3 linked regions of the Lepisosteus oculatus genome follow. The protein of the gene in region 1 purifies or fractionates together with the protein of each later gene. This does not show direct contact. Links are inferred from orthologs where the notes say so. Each region holds a gene or a part of one and is shown on either strand. Other genes may lie near its edges.

Region 1 (8,207 bases):
ACAGTGCCTGGAAAGAATTAAGTTAAGAACAGACTCGCCTAAAAATAGGACATGCATTTACACACGGATTTGTGGGGAGCTGTGTCCAACTTCCCTTTCAGGAAACAGCTTGTGGTGCCTTAAGAATTGGCTGAATTCTGTGATCAAACGGTTCATATCAACCCAATATAAAGGAAGTCCAAATGGAAAAACAGTGTTGTGGATTTTATCTATGTAATCTTATGAGATGACGAGGATCTGGTGTGCTGTTTGAAGAGATATCAGTCATTGCTTGTTTTTTTTTAATGCTTCCCTATATGGTTTCGTATAAACGTATTCACTTTAAGATATTCTGAATTTATGCATATTTTTGCTGCCGAATGTTATCAGAGCTCCACATGGGTCTAAGTGATACATAAAGGCACCTTGAGTAAACAAATAACTCAGGAGTTTAGTGCTTGTTTCATTTATTTAAAAAACAGTCATCCAACGTCCAAATGTCCCTGAGTGGAAAAGGTTAACTGATTCTCCCCTGAGATTCAGTAACTGGTTGCTCCACGTTTAGCTGCAGGAACTGCACCCAAATACGTCCCGTAGTTGAGCATCGGTCTCTCACATGGTTGTTGGAATATTGACCTGTTCCCCCGTGGCAACCTGCTGGAAACTGCTGTAAGGGGGGTGAATACTTTCAGAACGGTAGCTGTCCTGAGGATGTGATCTGTAGCTGAAGTGCTCATCTGGAGACTGCACTCTGTGCTTTGGAAACTGTATCATTGCTGTGTATCGCTGATCTCTGTAGCCCATCTGGGACCTGTGTGTAATGGTGGAGCCCCACTGCAGTCACATGCACAGCTCTGCATGCCTCCTTATCTCACAGGGGAGTTAATTTGTGATTTACTGTAGGACAGTTAAAAGGATAGCCCTCAGGAGCTGAGCTGTAGAGTTCAGGCTCTGCAGAGCTCACGTTGTCCATGCAGTAGCAGCAGCACCGCAAGTTCTCCACACCTGTCTCTCTGGAAGACCTGGAGCCAGTTGAAAGTTAAAAATGAATTAGTTGCTCCTGCCGTTGAGGATCAACATAAATAATTAAGAGTCGGTAGGAGCACAATGCTGCAATGAAATAGAGCCGAGCTGCTGCCTGTGCCCGCCCCAGCCCCCGGGGAGTTTGGTCTGTGTGAACAGGTCCTGTTCTAGTGGGATTTCGCAAACGCTGACTCCAAAGTCCTTGGCAGCGGGATATATTTGCTCCTTGCAGTTTGCCACTTTCTCCGGAGAGACTGTCTAAAAATATTGCATCACAGTGTTTCCAAATGTTCTCGTCCCCAGCAGGCTTTTAGAGAATGTGTGCAGAGCACTGCTAGGCCTCAGCAGTCCGTGTACATACCCGTGTGGCCAAACTGTGGGTATGGGAGTGTTAGTGTGCACTAGAGTATTTGACACATGGGCTAATCACCACTTACTGCTATCTTTAATACATTTTCAGTGTATGAAATACACTGTATTGCTGCCTTTTCTGGTCTTTTTCCACTTGTGTTATTTCTCTTTCTTTTCCTTTGTCCTAGAAGTACTATACTGCATGTCTTGGATGGATCTAAATAGTCCGGGCTTACTGCTTTCATACACACACCTGACAGCAAGCATACAGTACGTTAGAGACGCACCAATTTGCACCTCAGCTGGGGATTACAGTTCCCCTTTCTGAGAGATTGCACTCTGTGTGAGCTTTTACTAAGCTGTGGCTGCCCTAAGAGTGTTAATTAATGATTCTGTTGATTTAAAAATATTTCAAATACGGGGACATCAGGAGCCTGCAGTAGTTCTGACCTGTAAATGTGTGAGACTGTAACAGGGGTGAGAGGTCAGTGATCTTGGTGCAGGTTAAAGGTAAACGCAGTGTGTGCAGTTATTAACAGTGCAGTAGAGCTTTGCATGCATTTGCCTCTTATTTATGGGTTGTTCAATAATATATCTGCTATTGAAGTGCTTTGAAAATGAAGCCTTGTTAAATTAATAAGGGTGGAAAAGCCTAAAGTTAGCTGTCACATCCCCTGTGTCATTGGATGACACTCTTCCAATATGGATACATAAAGAAACAGTATAGTTACAGACCTTGTCCTGGAGACAGAGAGCCCCAAAGGTTGGAAACTTTAAAGTTGTGACTCTTCGTTCCGTACCTGAATTTTGTAAGCCATACATTTGTATACCATATTTGCACACACCACACTGTATTTAATTTTTTTTAATTGTTAAAAAATGAGAATGTTAACCTTATATACTGTATTATACTGTTCTTAATGTAACATTGTTTTGTTAAATTGGGACTCTCTGACATCTGAATTCCAATGGGTGATAAATGCATAAAAGCCACATCATGTTGCAATTTGTGCATTGGATGGCCATCTGCAGGACCTCCCTCTGCATCTGCTCTGTAATAGTATGCAGCTTCATTAAAGCCACACTAAAAACTGTTCCCATACTTGAAGTAAGAGTAACACCTGTTCTGGTTCTGCCATGCTGAATGAGTCGTGTGACTGTTGTTGTCAGATAATTAAAAAATACATGTCATATTTTGAATCACGATATATTGTACTACAAAAAAAATCATTTCACCTCATTTTTCGGGTGATGGGTATGTTGTTGTTGAGACAGGCTCAAAGTCTTTTTCACATGAGTCTCCATTTTTCACAGTTACGTTTTATGTTATTACTTGTGAAGGACTGCAGACATGCCTGTGAGAACCCGACACTCCAGATCACACTTGTTGTGATATACCAGTTCTCAAATTGTTGTCAGGAGCAGTTAAAAATATAGGCATTAGCCGCTTGTAATTAAAATGGGAAATTCTGATAAAAAGGGTTTGATAGCGTCATGCCAATCATTAGAATACTTCAAAATTAGGCGAATTGTTGGATTTTTATGGATACACTTGACACTGATGGCCAGGGCAGCATTTTCACAATGAATTCTGATATTACTGATACAGTTTTGGGGCGGCACAGTGGTCAGCATTGCAGCCTTGCAGTGTTGGGGCCCTGTGTTCCATTCCAGACCTGGGGAGCTATCAGCTTGGAGTTTAGACATCCTCCACACATCCGTGTGGGTTTTCTCCCACAGTCCAAAAACACACTGGTTGGTTTAATTGGCTTCCAGGAAATTTGGCCCTGGTGTGAGTGTGTTTGTGTCTGTGTGTGCTATGCGATGGGCTGGCATCATGTCCAGGGTGTATCCTGTCTTGTACCCCGTTGCTGGTAAGGATAGGCTCCGGCTCTCCTGCTGGGATGGAGGGATACAGTCCTCTTAGTTGAAATGAGAAGGAAGAGGCTTCTCCGGTTCTCGGTTCTTTGGTCGGGGCCGGGCAGAGGGATCGGACTGGCTGGAGGGGGTCCGCCCCGGTATGAGGGCAGCAGTGTCCTCTCCCCAGTGGGGCAGTGCAAGAGAGAAACTGGAGGGCAGCAGGGCACTGACTCTGAGCTCTGGTCTGAACTCTCTTCTGCAGATTGCAGTGGGTGTTCACATTTGTCCTTTTTCCACCAAACCTCTTGCCACATCTGTCTCCAGAGGTGCCAGCGGCAAAGCTTGTGGCTGTCACAGACCTGGGTTGTGGGGCGCTGCGTAAAAGAAGTGTTTGTAGTGCCGTCAGCTGTGCTGAGACGCCTCCTTTAGCTGCCCGGCATTTGTGCTGCTTTGCGCTGGTAAGTGGAGTGTACAGTATTAGCTTTGTTCATGCCGTGAGCACTGTGTTGTGAAATCCCATCAGGAATGTGAGCCGGGTTGCAGGGCTGTGCGGAGCGGAGAGCAGGGAGGGTCATTGTACAGCGGGGCTCGCGGCTTCAACAATGGAGCACTGTCTGCGGCTTTGGACCGAAAAACCTAATAGTTGGAGGAATTTAAAAGGCAGGATAAAAGCTGCTATAAAAAACAAGTAAGTAGAAGCTGCTATAAGCCTTTCCCTGAGGTGCCCTAATGATGCGTTTTCTGCAGATGTCGAGGTCTTCAAAACAGATAGACAGGGAGGAACACTGGGGGCTTCGCTGTCACCCCCGGCACCTGGGAGCAGTGGAAAAGGAAGCAGCTCTTGAAAAAGGCAGCTAGACAATTTGATCCTGACCTGAGTCGTAATGCCTGCGATCAAAACGAAGATAATATTATTTGGGATCTTTCTTGGGAGAGCAGTGTGGGCATTCCCGGGATGCCATGCTTCTCAGAGCTGTGGCTTTGAATGCATGTGTGCATTGCATGCAAGATAGAGACGTCTAATGTTAGTCTCTGAATCACAGCTTTGCTGTCATTCTCAGGCCTGTCCACAGGTGCTGAATGCTCCTACTGGCCTATACTGGGAAGTAGCAAGGGGGACACGGACTAGAAATAAGACAGCTCTCCTTAGTTGCCAAAAGGCCAACCCAGAAGGATTTCATAGGTTTCTATAAAATGATCAAGCACCATACACCTGGAACTATGGTGTAGTTGGGTGATTTGAAAGAACAGTTTGCTCAATTAGCTGAGAGCTCAGATGGAGTGAAAATTGTAAGGCTCAGTTGGCTCTTGAGGACTTAAATTGAGTAGCACTGGTGCAGTTGTAACATGTGCCGAATCATGAGTTAAGGTCCAGGCGATGTGTGTACTTGGCCTGGGGTTGTACTTGTGCACTGTGCTGGGGTTAGCATACCTGGAGCACAGTGCCCGTGTCGGGGAGGGTAATGTGTACAGTACAGTAAGGACATCTTCGCCCACTGCTCTGCTTCACTAACCCTGTTTTTGTTTGTTCCCAGGTCCCTGAATGCCCCCCGGACCCCTGCTCTCTGCCCCACGGCGCCCCCCAATGGCTCTCAGCTGACCCCCAGGATGACTGTGAGTGAGCGGCTACAGAAGCGCATCTCCGCTGCATTCTACCGGCATGGGTTGCTTTGTGCATCGTACCCAGTACCCATCATCCTCTTCACCGCGGTCTCCATCCTGGCCTGCTGGTGAGTATCGCGGGGCAGCCAGACCCCGAAAAAGACACAGAGGGAAGGATGTAAGAGAAAGGAGGAAGATCAATGTATTTCATTGAAAGAGGGAAAGTATGTCTGTCAATGCTAGCTATCCTTTCTTTCCACTTATATCAAGAAATTATTGTGGGAGTATGGGACAAGTCACCCAACCATGTGGTTGATGCCGATACGCTGAATGAGATCCTTGGATCAATTAAGTACTAACTACCAATTGGGCTAGATGGGCCTAATGTCTTCCTCTTGTTTATAACTGTACTTATGTTCTTAAAAAGCATATATCTTATATATATATTGAAACATCAACATTTATTATTGCTGCTGCTTTTAAGATGAACAGTAATACCCTAATAATATCTGTATTTCCCTACAGAGAGTGTGAGGGGCCATAAGACTGGATGTGATTCAGTTGTTAGTTTGCCAGTCATTGGTGATGTTGCAGCAACAGAATTAGTGGTGCTATTCAGGGCTTTGCTGCTATCTTTAGTCAAGTGGGGCTGAAGACAACATTTCCAAACCCTGTCTGCAGCCTCACACTGAGAGAGCCAGGCATCGTCTTTTTCCAGCCAGCCAAACTCCCAGTAGATTTAAGCACATCCTCAATGCAGTTTAATTACACAGCTTTCAACAGCAGATCTTTGAGTATACACTGCCTTTCAAAAGCATTTTCTGCTTCCAATGATGTCCTGTTTTGATGAATTACAAATTATATACGCACATTATTTTTTGTGCTACTACAGATTACAACAAAATCATCCAACCTCAACAGTTTTTTGTTAACTTCTTTCCCGGCTGCTTAATTTGGAGGCACAGTCTGATGTAGGCAGTGTCTGGGTGGTACACTACAGATTCCAATTGTTATATGATTGACTTCACCATGCTGAAAGGCTGTACAGTGTCTTTGAAATATTTTTATACCCTTCTTCTGATCTATGCCTTTCTACAACTGTTTCCCTGAGTTGTTTTGAAACCTGCTTGGTCTTCATGGTTAAATGTTTGCTTGAAAATCACTACCTGACTGAACGGCCTTACAAAGACGGGTACATATATGACATCATATAATTGCAGTCTTACCACACACAGATAGGGGGACACTCAGATAATTGTGTGACATGTCACAGTAATTTTATATACCTGATCTAATTTAGGTTGGCCTTAGCAAAGGTGGTGTATTATTATACAACATATTTATCTTTTTATTTCCCAGATATAGGCGATTAATATATATATATAAGTATTAGTTCTACCAGTAACTACAGTCTAAAGTAATGTCAAATCAAAAGATTGAAGAAAATCAAATGTACTTGTTCATCTGTCTTTAAACTGCAAACACAATGATAAGGATAATAATGATGAAGACAGACTTTAAGGGCTTTCTCTAGCCCTAGCTCTGCCTCAACAGCATGCTAACTGAGAACTCCATTAGAACATCTTTTTTCAAATCATTAAAAACCTGCCTAATGTAGAAACATCATTACAGAAGATGAATCTATAGAGCTTTTAGATGATCAGCTAGCTACAGTAGGATAGGGTTAGCTTTCCGACACTAGAGTTTCTTTTTTTCTTTCACTCATACAAGCCTTCAAAAGTGCCAAGTGAACAATATTCACATGGGGGAAAAAATGTGTGTACAGTACATCATTTGGAATTGATCCGAATGGAACATCATCGGAAGGAGGTGAATACTTTCGCAAGGCACTGTGTGTTTTTTTGAGTTGACACTGAAAGGACATATTAGTTACTGAAATTATTAGGCTTTCCTGCATTTCTTCATCACTGTCGCAAGGACCGTTGTTCATCTGGGCCCAACATCCATCTGATAAATTAAAATTAATAATACCACGATAATCCCAAACACAAAATTCTGTCAGTCTGGTAACCAATTGATTGCTCTTGCCGACAGCTACCCCTTGCTCAAGTTGCCTTTGCCTGGAACAGGGCCGGTGGAGTTCACCACAGGGGTGCGAGATTATACCACACCACCCTCCGAGCCTCAAGGAGACCCTGGGGACCTGCCTGACTGGGTAAGATCCTGTGGGTTGAGGGTCAGGGTCAGTGTGCTCCTGATTTGTGTCTGTTCTAGACTCACTGTCTCTCTCCTATGCTTTGTTCTGTTATGTTGCTGCTGTAACACAATATCGTGTGCACTGTATGTTACTGTTGCTGTGTGTTCAACTGTCTCTCTCTGTACTGTTCTTCGTAAGCCTCCCTTCTTCTTGATCAAGCTCTATATAATGTAACCTCTGTCTCTATTATGTGGTTTGCAGTACTGCAGTCCCCCTGTAGCCTACATCCAGCAGGTCTTGGTGAAAGCTGCAGTGGTTCCCTGGGACAGTCGACTGGTCCCTGTTGATGCTTTCCGCTCCCCGCTGGCCCAAGTCTTCACTCTGCTGGAGGAGATTCGCAATCATGTGCACAGAGACAGGTACCACCGCATCCCAGTAAGGCACTGTGCACAAAGACAGGTACCACCGCATCCCAGTAAGGCACTGTGCACAGGGACAGGTACCACTGCATCCCACTAACACTGCACACAGCCAAGTTCCTTTGTATTCCACTAATGTACTGTGCACAAAGACAGGTACCACTGTACCCCAAAAACACACTACACAGCCACTTACCACTGTACCCCAGTAACACACTGTACCCCACTAATGTACAGTCGGGTACTGTACACTGTACCCCACTAACATGCGGTGCACAGCCAGGTACAACTGTATCACACTAACTCACTGCGCACAGACAAGTACCACTGTGCTCCCTTAACACGCTGCGCACAGACAAGTACCACTGTGCTTCTTTAACACGCTGCGCACAGACAAGTACCACTGTGCTTCTTTAACACGCTGCGCACAGACAAGTACCACTGTGCTCCTTTAACACGCTGCGCACAGACAAGTACCACTGTGCTCCCTTAACACGCTGCGCACAGACAAGTACCACTGTGCTCCCTTAACACGCTGCGCACAGACAAGTACCACTGTGCTCCCTTAACACACTGCGCACAGACAGGCACCAATGTAACAAACTAACACACAGTACACAGAGTCAATTAACACTTATTCCCAGGCTTCCTGGCCCAGTTTTCTTATATCTCTATAGCTTTCAACAGTCTCTGTATCTCTATCTCCCTCTCTTGCTCTTTCTGGGTGTAGTTCTGGCGTTCGCAGCCTGGAGTCGCTGTGTCTCCAAGTGACAGACTTGTTGCCGGGGTTGCGACGGATGCAGACGGTTCTTCCA
Region 2 (8,207 bases), on another chromosome or scaffold:
CCGCCTTGATGAACTGGGGCTGCAGCAGGACCTGGGGACGAAGAGCAAGACACGATCGGACCAGCAGGGCCCCGAGAACAGGTCTGACCTAACCTGCACCCCTCTCACCCGCAGAGGCCCCCCCTACCCAGATCACCATCACCCTATCGGCCCAGGATGGGAGACAGAAAGTCTTGCCGCTTCCCCCTGTGCAGGCAGGTAGGACACTCCGAGACCCAGAGACACGCACCGTGCTGACCGGGACCTGGTGCACCTGGTGGGAGATGGTCTGCGTGGGCGGGCTCGCGGTGGCGGCCAATAGCTGCGGAGCGGGCAGGCTCTGGACCTGAGTCTGGATGGCCATTGGCTGGATCTGCTGGGGGGAGGCGGGGAGGCTGGGCTGGGTGGAGCACGCCTGCGGCCCGGCTGCAGAGTAAAGACAGCAGGTTACAGCTAGGGGGCGCCGCCGGGCCTGCACACAACAGCACCCAACTGGCGATCGCAACTAGACCGAACCGCACCAGAAACGACACAGGATTACATCTCAGAAACCGGACATCATTTTCTCAAAAAAAAAAAACGTATTTTAAAGTTAACTGACCAAAAAAAAACCAACGTTCAGCAAGACGTACCTCCTCTGTGCATCAGATGTTTGGACCAAACTGAGCTGGAAAAATAATTTGCCCGACAATAAATCTCAAAGCTGCCAGAGGTGTTCACGAGACGTCCAGGCTGCTTATCTCCTCAGTGCTCAGCAGATAGTGAGATACTGAGCACTGAGCTACCGACACAGTCAACAAAGGGCATGAACGGCTCTCACCCCTCCCTCTCGTGTTGCACAGTGATTACACAACGAGCCGAACGCAACAGGCTGTTACTCAACACACGCTGTCTAGACAGCTCCTTATCGGGTCTTTACAGAATTCACTTTGACCCAGGATAACCAGGCAGGTTTTCTTGTCTGTGTTCATTTTCGTTCGTGTCCTTGTTATTTTTCTCAAGGGCTTCAACCTTCAGCTTCTGAAGCTCAAGGGTCCGGCAGGTCAGGGCACAGAGGAACTTAGGGACAGATAACTTTCGCTTCGACAGCGGAGATCCTGAACAAAGAGTATTTACAGCCACTTTATCCTCTGAAAACAGTTCAGCACCGAGGCCCTGTTTGAAGAATGGTGCAAACACTGGTAGTTGAAGAATCAGAGAGAAATCTCAGTGGGAGATGCTGCTCTACAGGGGTGAACCAGGCGCCCACGTCCCGGTCAGGACCTCACCACCGACACCAGCAGTCAGTCCTGAATCTGGGGGTTTGCTGAGCAAGAGGCTGATGCAGAAAGACTGGCAAGACAGCGGATCAGAGGGGAAGGCCTCACTGGTGGGCACCTTACTGACCCTCTTCCTGAAGAGCCCCGACATTTCTCACAACCGAGATCAAACCAAACAGCTGTCTTTTAGTGCAGCGCCGTCCCCCTCCTCGGAGCCATTGCGAACGACCCCCACCCCACCCCACCCCCCTGCACCCCGAGCCACAAGGGAGGGGCCGTACCTGCATACCCGGCCGGACTCTGGTAGCCTGGGGCGGGTGGCGAGCTGAAGAGCACCGGCTGGCTGGAGCCGAGACTCGGGGTCCTCACGGCAGACGGAGGGGGCGCCGCTGCCTGGGTCTGGGGCTGTAGAGGCTGCTGCTGCTGCTGCTGTTTTGGGGGGGGCGAGGGCTGCGGGGTGGGGGGCTTGCTGTCCTGCAGAGGCGCAGGCGGGGGCGCTGGCGGGGCCGGAAGACTGCTCTGGGCGAAGGGGGCGGCCAGCTGAGGCTGCTGGGACGGGGGCGGGTACAGCTTCGCCGCAGAAGGGGGGGGCTGCTTGGCGGGAGGTCCCAGCAAGGCGTCGAGGTGCGGGGTGCTGCCCGGGCCCAGCAGAGAGGAAGAGGAGGAGGAGGAGGGGGCGAGGACAGGGGTGTCCTGCAGGGGACCCCCCGCGCCGAAAGGGGGATGGTCGAACAGGCCGGGGAACTCCATGTCCTGGCTGTTGATGAGCTGCAGCATGTCTGCAAAGAGAGAGGTCAGAGGTCAGAGGTCAGATGTCAGCGGTCAGCGGTCAGCGTCACCGGCTCGGGGGGCGAGACAGACAGAGCAGGAGCAAACTGATCGATCAGAACGCGAAACATTGGCAGACCCTCGGACCCCCTGCCTCCAGACAAGCTCCTCTCAACTCCACATCAGAGGAACAATTTCATACTGTGGAATTTTTTTTTTTTAATCTTGCTCTCCAATCTGAAGATGGCTATTTTAATGGCACTGGAACCTTTTGACTGTGCACCCTGGGTGTCTTTACAACACCACTAACAAGCTACAGGGGTGATAACAGAGCTCGTTAAGGCAGAGCCCTGCGGCCAGTCTGGTCACCGTGATGAACGCGATGGCGCCACTTTCACAGGGCAACTGCGCGAATGACTAATCTGATTAGCTGCGAGTTTAGTCTGAACGGTTAACGGGTGGTGCACCACCAGCCCGGACAGCAGGGGCCCAGTGCCGCTCTGCAGACAGGAGTCTCTCTCGGCTCCTCCGCACCTCCGGCGCCGGCCTGGTCCCACCCAGGTCTGCCCCAACACTGGCAAGATCAGCTTCACTTCACTGACTGCCTGAGCAGGTGATTCGCTCAGGTATTTCAACATCCTCTGCATCAAACATCACAGAGCACTCTGCTTATTGGATCGATGGCTCTCCTAGTGTCGCTGACCTTTAGGACACAGGTGATTTAGGGCAACTGCTAGAGCCCAGGATCAGGGCAGGACCCCTGCCTGAGCTAATTCAAGTACCGAACACGTTCAGCAAGAACAGCAGCTCTTATTTACAAACATAGAATGGCTTCAGGCAGCATTCAGCTCCAAAGAGTACCCGAACAGTGTTCTAGCATGAGCAGGAACAGCAGACAGCCAGTGAGCTCACGACAGAAACCTCCTGCACACAGCAGCCCAGAGACTTCGGCTTCATGTGCCGCAGGTCATCAGGAACCGGGAGGCTGCCACTTGTCACTTCAGCAAATACCGCCTGAAAGGAACGGGTAAAGGTTTATTCCGCACTGAAAGGAAAAGAGACACAACGTTTGGCTGTGGAGCCACACGCCTGACGAAACGTTGTGTTTCTGCTCTGTCCTCTCAGCCTGGAATAAACCCTTACCTGTTCCTTTGCAGCCTGCGCATGCTGGCACAGCTCCCTGCTGGAGCTACACTCTGAAAGGCCCAGCACACCTCTTATCAGGTCATACCTGACCCTGCAGCTGGAAAACCACGAAACGGATCACAACAGCTACGGAGTCTCGTGTACGACTGGGTTCACTGCAGTTTCCAAGCTCAGCAAAAGTGCTGGTGCTGTCCAGGACACAGCACCGTCTTTCAGCCAGTATTGTAGGTGTGAAGGAAAGATGACATACGTCTGTCCACACAGAGGCTTCCCAAGAACAAGCTAATTCCAGCAAGAGACCGCGAGATGCAGCACACAGGTGCGCTGGAAACAGACAGAGAGCCACAGGAACATTAACATTTACCTTCTAAAGTGCAGTCCATACTGCCAGCCAGTGTGAAAGCTGTCTGCTCAGCTGCGAAATCACAAACTCCTCAAGAGCTGCGCGCATCCCCGTGTCCAGAGGGAGCTGAACGTCCTCCCCGCACGGGCCGGGCCGTCAAGCCCACAGAGGAGCACAGCTCCCGTCGGACACGCCTCCCTCACGCCCGCGGGGGGCCGGGCGGTGCGAGCCGTGTTTTGGTATGAGGTGATCGCTCGCAGCCAATGGGACGCGGGCTGGGCGCCTGGCTATGCGGGCCTGCCCCCGGGACACGGCGAGAGAGCCAGCGTGTCTGAGCCCACGGTGTCCCGGGCTGCAGGGTGAACGACCGGGGTTACTATCGGGCAGCGTGTGCGTCTGCTCAGGCGGCGGGGTTACTCGCGGTCATGCACACCCCCCGACAGAAACACGGCGACGAAGCAGCTTCTCCCACGCAGGTCGCGTCACCAGGGGGAGAATAAGAACAATCGCCCTGTAACGCGACAGCGGGACCGAGAAGGAATCGTTTAAGAAAGGCGGTCTCCTGAACACCGCGGGAGCGTGCCCCGGGCCGTGTTCAGCGGACAGGGTCCCCCCTGCAGGCTCGATGACCGGCCCCTGCAGGAAGCCCCCCCCGGGAGACCGCGGCTTTGTAATGAAAGCGGTGCAAATCGTTCAGTGTCTCCCCCGGCCCTGGGTGAGAGAAACACGCGGGTGAACTCCGGGCGGGGGAATGCACGAGAGTAACCCCCGCGTGACGCCACGCGCAGCAGCCAGGGGGGGGCGGGGCGCTCGAGAGCAGAGAGCAGCCCTGCTCCGGACGCTTTGGGGGGCTGGACCCCCGCACTGAGATACCCCAATAACCCGCCTCCCTGCGCCCGGCACCCCGCGGGCCCTGAGCTCGTCTGTCCGAAAGCGCCCCACGGCCCGAGGCAGAGGGGGGTCTCTGGGCTGCTGTGCGCGCAGGGGGACATGTCGCTGCGGACCCCACTGCCAGCCAGACTGACCACAGCTGCGCCGACAGGACAGGCGCGGTGCCCGAGCAGCAGTCCCGGCACTGACAGTCGTGCGAGGCTGCAGCCGGGGTCCGGCTCGGGTCCGGCTCGGGTCCGCACGCCTGCGGGCTTACCGTCGATGTCGCTGAGCAGCGCGGTGTCGATCTCACTGGGCTCATGAAGAGACAGGCTGGGGTCCAGGTGGTCCAGCGACGGGTCGTCAAAGGGCAGGCCGCTCATTTTCGGTTGTTTCTTTTTAACAAGTGTATTCGCAGTTATCCCGAGTTATCACGTGGAAGTTTCCATTAAAATACAACATAAAAAATAAACACAGAAAAGTCCCGTCTGGAGGGGGGGGGGGAGCCCCCCAGAGACGGCAGTAAAGAGTGAAATCAAACTTTGTGACTGATGCGTCTGTCTACTCGCTGCTCTCCTGCTCCTCCATGCTGAGCGCTCACGGTAAACTTGTCCAAACACTGAGCGGAGCGACACCCTAGCCTGCTGGCTGGGAAGCCCCAGACGCACCGCCCCGCAGCTCCGTGACGACCGCGGACTGACGGCGCTCCCGGCCAATCAGCGGCAGAACAGCGGCCATGTGCGGTCTGGCCAGGAGAGGGGGGTGTGTTTCTCACCTGCCCCCCCGAAAAACAGCTGTATCTCTTCTCACCGGTCCAGCCTCATGCATAATAACTGGGAATATTTCTTTACAGATCTGGTACCTCATTTTATTCTGCTTTCTGCCTTTTCATAGTTTTTCTGCTTCTACAGACACCCTCTGACCTCTCTCACTCGCAGCTGCCCGGCCCTTCCCCTGGGAGTGCAGTGTGATGGCTGGGCTCTCCTCTCCCGCTCGCCCGGGACCCTGAGGCTCAGGGGGTGGGTCATTGATGACTGTGGTGAGCTCAGGGCAGGAGCGGCCTGAGAGACCTGTTGCAGGAACAGAGTGGGAGTCACTGAGCAGGGTCTGTGTGCTGGATCACACTGCAGTGCCTGAGGGGGTTTAGTCAGGGTTTAGTGAGTCTCCTGCATCAGCAGCTCAGTTTGGTGACTGTGTGATAACCAGCTCTGCCCCAGGGCCCAACAGCAGTGCGGCTCTATTCTTGAGCTCGGCACCAGGCTGCCATGTGGGATAGGGTCTCTGCCTTGTATGGAAGAAGTGGGTTTTTAATCTGGCACGCCTTGTGGCAAAAGCTATTCTTAATCAGCAATAAAACTAATGTAATTACAGATATTATTATATATTGTTTAAGCCTTTTATCAAACCCCTGCTATGTTTGTGTACCTTTAAAATGTACTACAAAAAAAAATATCTGTTCGCTCACAATCAGTGATAAAAGTCTTCATTTGCTCGGGTCAGGCAGTCGCAGGGCAGCACGGTCCCAGAGTGTACTAAGAACTATGGACTCAACTTCCACGTGGACAGGTGATATTCATGCTAACCGAAGCCGCATCCTGAACAGGCCATGAGCACACAGCCAGCGAGCGGAGCAGCTTCCCAGAGACACAAGCGGCGGCTGCCGCACAGGCGAGCCCCTGTGGGCGTGTCCCCGCCAGCCAATGGGGAGCGGCCGCAGGCGGGACTGCGCGCAGTCAAGTTTGTTGGAGTCGCAGAGGCGGCCCCGCCTGTAGAACCAGCGGCCCCGACCAATGAAAAGCGGCGCACAGTGTGGGGTGATCTGACGTCACAGCTGTGGCTCTGCGATTACATCACGTAATCCTTGCTGGACGGGCGCAGCTCGTTTTCCAGTTTTTCCGGGGGGTAACTTTTAGCACAGGAGGTTTAACACCCGCTAGGAAAGGACTCCCCAGAACAGATCGATTGCAAAAAAAAAATATTTGCTGTTTGTCTTAGTGAGTATGGAGACTTTTACTTTCAATACAAGGAGGGCAGCTCTAAATAAGTTTTAAAGTGTTTGTTAGAGGAAACTCATGCAAACACGGGGAGAACATGCAGACTCCACACAGACAGCACCTTGGGTCTGGAATTGAACGCGGGGGCCCAGAGCTGTGGGGCAGCGATGCTGACCACCCTTTCGAAATGTCCTCCTCTTCCTAACGGAGCAAAGCTTTATTAACTGGTGTTGACCAAGTTCATCAGAGGAGGAACAGCAATGGAATTCGCTTTACAGGGATCACACTGACGTTTTTATTTGGGTTGAGATGTAAGTTTTTTTCAGAGGGACATTTGGCAATTCTGCAAGGGTTAAGTGGCTCATTTTCCAAAGATTCATTAAAACTAAGTTTTAAAAGGACGTAAAAAAAGATCTTCCTTCACCCAAGTTAGCATACAAGGGTTAAAGCTTCCTACCTAAGCAGCTATGCAATAGTCAGGCAATATTAAGGCCAGGATCAGTTTGCATTTTTAGTTTCTAAGTTTTTCAGTAATCCTTCTGTTCTTTATTCCTAATAAATATTTAAGCTATTTCAACACAAATTAAAGCTGAAAGATTTTGCTGTGGTTGTTCAAGTACTAATTCTACTGTACAATATAATGTCAGTTGTGATGTTTTACATAAAAGTTTACATTTAACATTTAATTGGCACTATTTTATGGGTTCACAGTTATTTTAAGGTTTCAGATTCCTAGAATTGTGATAGGAAATGTGTTCTTCAGGTTATGCAGTAATTGGAACACCAGCCTACACTTACACAGGTACAGTATTTCCAAGCAAGAACAACAGAGACCGGAATGTACAGATCACACTGGTAGTGTTTTATTGGAGTTTAACACATGCAAGAGTTCGTACAGCACAGCGCGAAACTTCGGTAACAGCAGCAGTAAGGACAGGCCATTACACACACATGACAAGACTGTTCTCTCTGGGTCCCTGCTGCCCTAAGGGTAAGCTCAGGTGCAGAACTCAGGAAGCAGGCAGAACAGCTTCCAGAATGCACCTGACACCTTCAGGTGAGTCAAGACCTTCATCCAGCCACTTTCACTTCCAAGATTCTACCCCCTGACGTCAGGCACAGAACTGTTTTCAGTTACACAGAACATCATTAGGTGCATTAAACAAAATCAGCACAATGTGTTAACTTCCGTGTCAAAAGACATACTGTATTTGCGAAGATGTGTATCAATTTCTCAAAACGTACGTAACTCCCAGGAATCTTGTGCTGTTTCTCTTTTTAACACCACTGGTTAACTCTGCAACACAAACATTTACCAGCAAATGATGAATTCTGTTAAAAAACTGATAGACAAAAATACGCCCAGAGATGTCAGATATTACATTTTAAGGAGAACCAAAGTGATTTGAAGTTTCTCAGAACATCAGCGCACTCTCCAGGCTCAAACTGCGTAGCACAGACCACTAGGCTCAAATAAAAGGAAATAAGCAGTTACACTTCTATATGTCAGTTTAGTCTTGTAGATATCACAGCTCCTCAACTCTGTTGCAAGGTTAAAAGCTAAGGTACATTACTTTTTTCAAATAAAAAAAAAAACAAAACAAAATTAGATCCAATAAACTTTGTGGAAGAGTGCGACCCAGCTAGTGCACACAAACATGAAGAGTTATACACATTTAACACAAATACAAGAACCTTTCATTTCTTTCTTTTTAATCTTGTAAAACATTTTCCCTAATGCTGATACTTGCAAAGAATATTAAAAACAATAAATTAATCTTATTAAAAGATTTTCTAATGTTCTAAGTGATTACAGATATAAAGATAAATGTCTCAGCTGCAAGCAAC
Region 3 (8,207 bases), on another chromosome or scaffold:
TCTCTCTACACCAGGGCTGTCCAGTCTCTCTCCTGTGGGGTCAGTGTGTCTGTGTCTGTCCAGTCTCTCTCCTGGAGGGTCAGTGTGTCTGTGGGCTGTCCAGTCTCTCTCCTGTGGGGTCAGTGTGTCTGTGTCTGTCCAGTCTCTCTCCTGGAGGGTCAGTGTGTCTGTGGGCTGTCCAGTCTCTCTCCTGGAGGGTCAGTGTGTCTGTGGGCTGTCCAGTCTCTCTACACCAGGGCTGTCCAGTCCTGCTTCTGGGGGGTCAGTGTGTCTGTGGGCTGTCCAGTCTCTCTACACCAGGGCCGTCCAGTCCTGCTCCTGGGGGGTCAGTGTGTCTGTGGGCTGTCCAGTCCTGCTCCTGGGGGGTCAGTGTGTCTGTGGGCTGTCCAGTCCTGCTCCTGGAGGGTCAGTGTGTCCAGAAGCAGGACTGGCCTCGAGCTGCCTGCACCACTGGAAGGTTGCGGGTGCGACTGGATAGATCTGTCCTGTAGAGGCTACCCCAGGAGGGACTGTGCTCCCACATCTCCGGCTTCCTTCCCAGCCGGGCAGCGTGTGCGGTCAGCGGCGCTCGGACAATATTCCGGGCCTGCCTTTTTGGGGGGATGGCGTGGCGTCGCTGGGGTGACCGGGGAGACAGGAAATCGCTGCGGCCTGAGCCTCACTGCGCGTCTTCCTCCCGTCTTCCAGCCAGGAGGGAGGAGGAGGAGGAGGAGGAGGAAGAGGAAGATCCCGCGGAGCTGCGCCTGGTCCTGCTGGGCAAGACGGGGTCAGGGAAGAGCGCCTCCGGGAACACCATCCTGGGCCGGCGGGCGTTCCGCTCGGAGGCCAGCGCCCGCTCGGTGACGCAGGCGTGCGCCCGGAGCCGGGGGCGGCGGGTGGCGGTGGTGGACACGCCCGGCCTGTGCGACCCCGGCCGGCCCGCGGAGGAGGTGCGGGCCGAGCTGGCCCGCTGCGTGGCGCTGTCGGCGCCGGGGCCGCACGCCTTCCTGCTGGCGGTGCCGGTGGGCCGCTTCGCGGAGGAGGAGGCGCGGGCGGCGCGTCTGGTCGCGGGGCTGTTCGGCGCGCGGGCGGCCGCGCACACACTGCTGCTGTTCACCCGGGGGGACGACCTGGAGGGGCGCGGCGTCGAGGAGTACCTCCGCGAGACGGCCCCCCCGCCCCTGCGGGCGCTGCTGGCCTGGTGCGGCGGCCGCCACCACGTCCTCGACAACAGGGCCCCCGGCGACCGGCGGCAGGTGCAGGGGCTGCTGGGAAAGGTGGAGGCCCTGGTGCGGGAGAACGGGGGCCGCTACTACAGCAGCCGCCTGTTCGAGGAGGCGGAGGCCGCCATCCGGGCGGAGCAGGACAGGATGCTCCGGGAGGGGGGGCGGGAGCCCGCCAGGAAGAGGAAGTGGGGGCGGGGGGCGGGGCCAGAGCCGGGGGGAGGCGGGGCGTTGGGCCGGGCCCCCAGGAGGAGGTTCCGGAGGGACGCGGAGCTGTCGGAGCTGGTTCTGGAGAGGATCCGGGCCCTGGTGGCGGCCGGGGCCGCGGGGGCGGTGGTGGGGGCGCTGTGCGGGGCCGCGGTGCCCCTGGCGGCGGCGGCGGGGGCCGCGGTGATGGGGAACGCCGCCGCCTTCGCGGCCGGGCAGGTGTGCGGGGTCCCGGCGGCCACCGCGGCAGGGAAGGCGGTGGGCGCCCTGGTGGCGGCGGCGGCCGGGAAGACGGCGGTGGCCGCGGGCGCCGCCACGGGGGTGGTGCTGGGGGGCTCAGTGGGGGCCCTGGCGGGGGCTGAGGCGCCGGGGCCTGCGCGGGCGGCAGTGCAGGCAGCAGGGGCGGTGGCGGAGCTGGGGGCAGCCGCAGTGGGCGTGGCGGCCGGGGTCGGGGGCGTGATGGGCGCTGGGGCTGCGCTGGCGGCTGCCAGTGCCGCTGGGGGGGCGCCAGCGCTGGCGGCAGCAGGAGTGGAGCCGGGGGGCGGGGCAGCGGGGCTACCATCAGGGGGTGTGGCCGCCACAGAGGCCACGGGGGCAGTGATGGCAGAAGGGGGAGGGGCAGCGGGGCTGGGGGCGGGGCTACCATCAGGGGGTGTGACCGCCGCACAGGCCACAGGGGCAGTGATGGCAGAAGGGGGAGGGGCAGCGGGGCTGGGGGCGGGGCTACCATCAGGGGGTGTGACCGCCGCACAGGCCACAGGGGCAACGATGGCGGCAGGGGGCGTCCAGGGCGAGACGGGCGCAGCCGGGATGGGGGCCCTGCAGACCGCAGGGGTGGCGGCGAAGATGCTGACCGCCGTGGCGGAGCTGGGCAAGGCGGCGGCGGGCATCGCGCTGGCTGGGGGGCTGACGTTCAGGCTGGTGAAGGAGAGAGTGAGGCCGGGCTCGCAGGCGTCCGACGGCCCCTACACGGAGAGGCAGTCCCTGGAGTTCCACCTGGACAGGAGCGGCCGGCCCGGGCGCGAGGATCAGTGAGAGGGCCGGAGGGTACGAAGCACCTGTCTCTCCACAACACCTCGGCTCCTGCCCCCTCTGCAAGCGCCGGGACTCCGCCTGGTTCCAGTTCGGGCTGATGAAGATCTGCGTCTACAGATTGGGCTTGAACTACAGACACCTGCCCCCTTTCCTCAGCTGTCGTTACAATAGAGCAGCTGCCCTTCAGCCAGCAGCCTGTCCGAGTGCTTTGCTCAGTAGATCTCTTTTTATTTGACTTTTACAAGCTAGTACTACCTTGCAGTGCCTGAACCAGCCTGCTCAGAGATGGCGGTGATTTATAAAAAATCGACACTGTGCCTTAAATTAAAACTTGCATGTTTTGTATCTGGCATTTTAAAGCGTTGGCAGACTTGCAAATAAAAGTATTTCTGGAGCATTCGTGGTGTCTTTCGTGGGCCAAGACTCAATCAGCAGGCCACTGCCCGTTGTCTGTGTTCTCCAGTCTTGAAACAGGACTGTAATACACGCACCAGAGGGGCCCAACAGCCCATCCAGCCTGTGTCCTAGACTGGTAAATGTAAGCTTTTAATTCATCCAGGTGGGGCTGCACATTGGTGGTGGTGGAGGGGATCCCCATTACCTGTAAAGCGCTTTGAGTGGAGTGTCCAGAAAAGCGCTATATAAGTGTAAGCAATTATTATTATTATCATCATCATCATCATCATCATCCCAGGATCTTATCCAGCTGCTTGATCCCCTTTGAAAGAAGCCTGGATATCAGCCTCAGTGCCGTGGCTGGTCAGCTTGTTCCATACTCCCACCCCCCTCTATGTAAAGAAGTGCCTCCCCTTCTCAGTTTTAAATGTGCTTCCAAACTTGCAATCATCTCTGGATCATGTTTCGCTGTTTACGTATGAGCGCTTTTCAGGAAAGTCAAAGAGCTGGACTCCCATGGGTACCGTTCGGCACAGAAACACGACACGCTGCATGTACAGGTGCAGCCAACACTGGGATATTCAAAGTGTCCTGTCTTTTCAATATACTGGTCTAATCCTCTGTCCTCCTTCAGGCTCCTGCGCAGATGTCTTACACACGATCAGAAGTCATACACATGTGCAGTATGTTTCTTAAGACAGCAGCAGCAATTCATTCAAATCTTGCACGGGTGTTGTCTGCGCTAGTGAAGACTGACACAGTGATTAGTACCGCTTAGTTCGGGCGAGAAGACACCAGACCAGTCAGTTCGGCATCTGTAATTCATGCACATCCGAGTCTGGAAACACCAAACTCACATCGGCTCCCGACACGGCTGAACGCCGGTCGTAGGAGCTGCTGACCCGTTGCATTTACCAGTTCAACGAGCTGAAAGAAAACAAGGACTTTTTTTATTTTAAGGTTTAAATGTAGACTAACAGGGCCAGATCATTAAAAGATCCCTGGAGACGGGAAACTATTGACTGGCGGAATGAATTACATAACACAAATAAATAAAAAACCCCGTGGTTAGCCGAATGACAGAACTTAAATATTAAATGTCATTCATGAACAACCGCGGAGGAGTTCCCTCATGCAGAAGGCAGAGCGAGCCGCCCGGAAGCCGCTCATGGAGAATCGGCGCTCGGGCCGCGCCCACCGCCCCGGGGGAGGCGGGGCCAATGCAAAGCAGCCGAAAGCGTCTGATCGCTGACGTACTATCAGACCACGGCGGCCGGAGCCCGCCGATTGGCTGGGGGGGCCTGGTCTCATGACAACAACAGCCGGGGATCCACCAATCGGAATCCCCGCTGGCGGCCTTCCACTGTTTGTAAATGACGTCACCGCGGCAGCCAAGATGGCCACCTAGGGGTTTGTGGATGGTGCTCAGCCCTCTGACAGCTCTCGCGTCCCGGCCGAAGGCGCTCTTGTAGCCCGCCTTGTTCTGTTCGAAAGCGGATCGCACGCTTTGACACCCGCCGGGGACGGTAGACCTAGCCGATCGTGGGGGGGTGTCCCAGCCCCGTCCTGCCCAGACGATGGAGGGAGAGTTCTTGCCGGCGGTCGACAGTATGGACCCGACTCTCTCCGAACTCGGGGATGACTTCTCCCTGGGCTACATCGACGGTGAGTCGGTCTCGCCGAGCCGCCGACCTCCGCAGGAAGACAGAGCCCCGTGTCCGTCCGTCCGTCCGTCCGTCCGTGTGTGCGTAACCTTAACCCGGTACCGGTCCGGTCTGCCACGGATCTGAGCCCCGATGGGTACCGGGCAGTACAGTCCGAGACCGTCTCACCTGAGCGGAGCCCTCTCTCCTGGGCTTGCTTCCAGTTGTGATGAAACACGAATTGTTCTCTCTAGTGAGTGGCTTGGATTATTGCTAATGATCTGGTAGCGCCGGGATGCTCTAATGTGGTGTAGGTGTTATTTTTAGGCGAGTATTTAAGGAGCTGTTTAAAGACCGCTTCCCTGCCTCATTCTGCATCCCGTGTGTGTGTGTGTGTGTGTGTGTAAAGTGTGAAGTTTGTCTTTCGGTGTTGAGCTGTTTGTGTCGTGTGTGTTGTAAGCGTGGAGTTTGTCGAGTCTGTCTGAATTGCTATCCAATGTGAAATTTGTGTTGCGTGTAGGTGTGTGAATCGCGTTTGTTTCGAGTGTGTTTGTAATCATGGAGTTTGTGTTGTGTCTGTGTGAACTGCTGTTTAATATGGAGTTTGAATTGAATGTGAGTGTAGGTGGGGGTTGTGTGTGTGTGAGTGTGGAGTGTATGTTGTGTGAGAACACAGCAGTGCTGTGCTCAGTGATGGGGTGAGCAGTGTGCAGTGTTCAGGCCCAGTGTGTGTGTGTTGTGTGTGAACACAGGGAGATTGCTGTGACTCGAGAGCAGTGCTGTGCTCAGTGATGGGGTGAGCAGTGTGCAGTGTTCAGGCCCAGTGTGTGAGTGTTGTGTGTGAACACAGGGAGATTGCTGTGACTCGAGAGCAGTGCTGTGCTCAGTGATGGGGTGAGCAGTGTGCAGTGTTCAGGCCCAGTGTGTGAGTGTTGTGTGTGAACACAGGGAGATTGCTGTGACTCGAGAGCAGTGCTGTGCTCAGTGATGGGGTGAGCAGTGTGCAGTGTTCAGGCCCAGTGTGTGTGTGTGTGTGTTGTGTGTGAACACAGGGAGATTGCTGTGACTCGAGAGCAGTGCTGTGCTCAGTGATGGGGTGAGCAGTGTGCAGTGTTCAGGCCCAGTGTGTGAGTGTTGTGTGTGAACACAGGGAGATTGCTGTGACTCGAGAGCAGTGCTGTGCTCAGTGATGGGGTGAGCAGTGAGCAGTGTCCAGGCCCAGCGCCTGCTCATCAGCGTGTGTCCTGCCGGAGACAGTCGGGGCGCCGTGCTGGGCTGCACTCAGATGTTTCTGTGAACACGTAGCTGCATTCCAGCCGTGCAGCGAACAGGCTGGGCAGCGTCATCAGCGCTTGTCCACTCTCGGACGTCCGCATCAGTGAGCGGACATCGCCCGGGATTGAACCGGTCTGCTGCACGGATCCCATCGGTCCCACCTGTGTGTCTGTGTCTTTCTCTCTCCGCGCACTGCGCCGCCTTGCTGGGTGTCAGTGAAGCCGCTTCCTGGAGGTCATATTAAATCCACAGACATGAAATGCAAAACTGAACTGCATTGCAAACCTGCACAGCCACATCCAGCTGAAGGACCCCTGGGCTCATGATGACCAGTACGAAGCCTCGCGGGAGGGAGAGCAGACCCAGCCCTCCTCTCTGCGAGGTCACTCAGCTGTCAGTGGCCCGCGGAGGTGGCGGGTTTGACAATCACACCTACGTCTGCCTGGGGGTAAAACCCGGACTGGCCTCCCGGATGGGCGCCAGGATTCGGGTACTGTGACGTGGGCTCCTGGGGGAGAGGAGGGGGTGGAGGCTGGCCCTGACCGTGCAGCGCTGTTTGAATCTGTGCCAGTGAGGCCTGTTGCAGCCCGGGCTGTGTTGACCTGCTGGGGACCCTGCTGTCCCAGTGTTGCCTCAGAACCTGCTGATGCTTCTTGTCCGTCTCTGATATCAGCCCCCGTGTTCTGATCTGAAGCTCTTGGCTGTCTGTGGCCTGTACCTGTCACACATTTGAGCCGTTTCATCGCCTGAAGCTCATTTCAGGTTGTTCAGGTCTCGCACAAACCCTAAGAACTGTCAGCCTGCAGGGTGAGCTGTGACCTCTGACCCTGTGCTGTAGGGTGTCGGTGAAGGTTGCTGTGAGCTGTGACCTCTGATCCTTTGCTGTTGGGTGTCTGTGAGAATTGCTGTGACCCCTGATCCTTTGCTGTTGGGTGTCTGTGAGAATTGCTGTGATCTCTGACCCTGTACTGTAGGGTGTCTGTGAAGAGCTCAGTGAGCTGTGACCTCTGACCCTGTGCTGTAGGGTGATTGTGAGAATTGCTGTGACCTCTGACCCTGTGCTGTAGGGTGTCTGTGAAGAGCTCAGTGAGCTGTGACCTCTGACCCTGTGCTCAGTTCTGCAGGACAGACGACCTGCTGGGGTGCCGCAGCTCCATGCGATACGCGACAGGGTGGCCTGTTTCAGGCCTCCTCCGAGCAGCGAGCAGATGACCAAGTCGGTTCTTGACGCGGAGCTGTGGGGCTCCAGACACGTCGTGACGCACTGACCCGCCGCCCTCCTCACCTCTCTGTGTCCCCTCTCTCTCCGCAGAGATGCTCCAGTTCGTGAGTAACCAGGTGGGCGATTTCTCTGACCTGTTCGAGGACCAGCTGGGCGGCAGCCTGCAGACTGGGGGTTCGGGGGTTCCTTACCAGCAGCAGCAGCCCCCACCACAGCAGCAGCCCCCCGGCACCAACCCCACCCCCCAGCCCAGCCCGGTCTATCAGGGCGGGCCGGCGGTGCCCCTGTCCCAGCTGCCCCCCTCCCTGCACCAGTCCCTCCCTCTCACGCCTCCCCAGACCCCCGTGCAGGCTGTCCAGCAGGGCTCCCCGCCTCTGACTGTGGCCCCGGCCCCGGCCCCGGCCCCGCTCCGCAGCGCCCCCTTGCTGCAGCCCAGGCCGCAGCAGGTGCAGGCGCCGCCGCCGCCCATCGCGGTGTCGGTCCAGACCCAGACCCTGACCGTGCAGACCCAGTCGGTCCCCATCTACACCCAGGGGCTCCCCGTGCAGACGCAGGCTCCCACCCAGACCGTGATGTTCACCCCCACTCTGACCAGCTCGTCCCAGTCGCGGATCGTCCAGCACCCCGTCATCTACCACCAGAGCCCCATGAGTGGATTCCAAGGTGAGGACTCGGCTCGGCTCGGCTCGGCTCGGCCTCGCGTGCCCTCCTTGCTCCTGGGGCGCCCCCTGCTGGCGGTGTCGCTGTCCTTCGCTCGGTGCGCTGGGCACAGGCATCGTCCTCTTCAGGCAGACAAGTCCAGTGTGAACGAAACAGCGCTGTGGGGGTCCCGATGCCCCAGTATACTGTCCTTCAGATGAGACGTCAAACCGAGGTCCTGACTCTCTGTGGTCATTCACAATCCCAGGGCGTTCCTCGACAAGAGTAGGGGTGTAACCCCGGTGTCCTGGCCAAATCTCCCCCTGGCCTTTACCAGTCATGGCCTCCTAATAACCCCCCTCTCTGAACTGGCTCCATCCCTCTGCTCTCCTCCCCACTGAGAGCTGGTGTGTGGGGAGAGGACTGGAGCATCATGCAGGTGGGGGTACACACTGGTGAGGGTGGAGGGGATCCCCAGTACTTGTCCAGCTCTGTGAGTGGCGTGTGCAGGAGAGCGCTGTAGAAGTGTGAGGATATTACTACGGATTGAGCGCAGGTGTAGAGGAGAGCCCAGCGCAGTTTGTGTCC

The links.
Region 2: the proteins of scap (region 1) and srebf1 purify together in Homo sapiens (affinity purification with western blotting; 4 studies listed by BioGRID and IntAct, with this or other methods). This does not show direct contact. The link is inferred for Lepisosteus oculatus from reciprocal best matches to the Homo sapiens genes SCAP and SREBF1.
Region 3: the proteins of scap (region 1) and srebf2 purify together in Homo sapiens (affinity purification with western blotting; 3 studies listed by BioGRID and IntAct, with this or other methods). This does not show direct contact. The link is inferred for Lepisosteus oculatus from reciprocal best matches to the Homo sapiens genes SCAP and SREBF2.

Annotation. Positions count from the first base shown.
Region 1 is NC_090705.1:19,914,892-19,923,098, reverse strand, and holds the start of scap (sterol regulatory element-binding protein cleavage-activating protein), read left to right. Parts: upstream 1-3,738; 5' UTR 3,739-3,815; coding exon 3,816-3,901; intron 3,902-4,748; coding exon 4,749-4,943; intron 4,944-6,870; coding exon 6,871-6,991; intron 6,992-7,234; coding exon 7,235-7,392; intron 7,393-8,122; coding exon 8,123-8,207. UniProt on the Homo sapiens protein: Escort protein required for cholesterol as well as lipid homeostasis.
Region 2 is NC_090714.1:17,556,248-17,564,454, forward strand, and holds the start of srebf1 (sterol regulatory element-binding protein 1), read right to left. Parts: upstream 5,002-8,207; 5' UTR 4,749-5,001; coding exon 4,643-4,748; intron 3,666-4,642; exon of another isoform or gene 3,536-3,665; coding exon of another isoform or gene 3,517-3,535; intron 2,018-3,516; coding exon 1,520-2,017; intron 406-1,519; coding exon 230-405; intron 32-229; coding exon 1-31.
Region 3 is NC_090707.1:38,962,291-38,970,497, forward strand, and holds the start of srebf2 (sterol regulatory element-binding protein 2), read left to right. Parts: upstream 1-4,196; 5' UTR 4,197-4,417; coding exon 4,418-4,505; intron 4,506-7,070; coding exon 7,071-7,643; intron 7,644-8,207. Other genes in the region: uncharacterized protein, read left to right, coding at 688-2,444.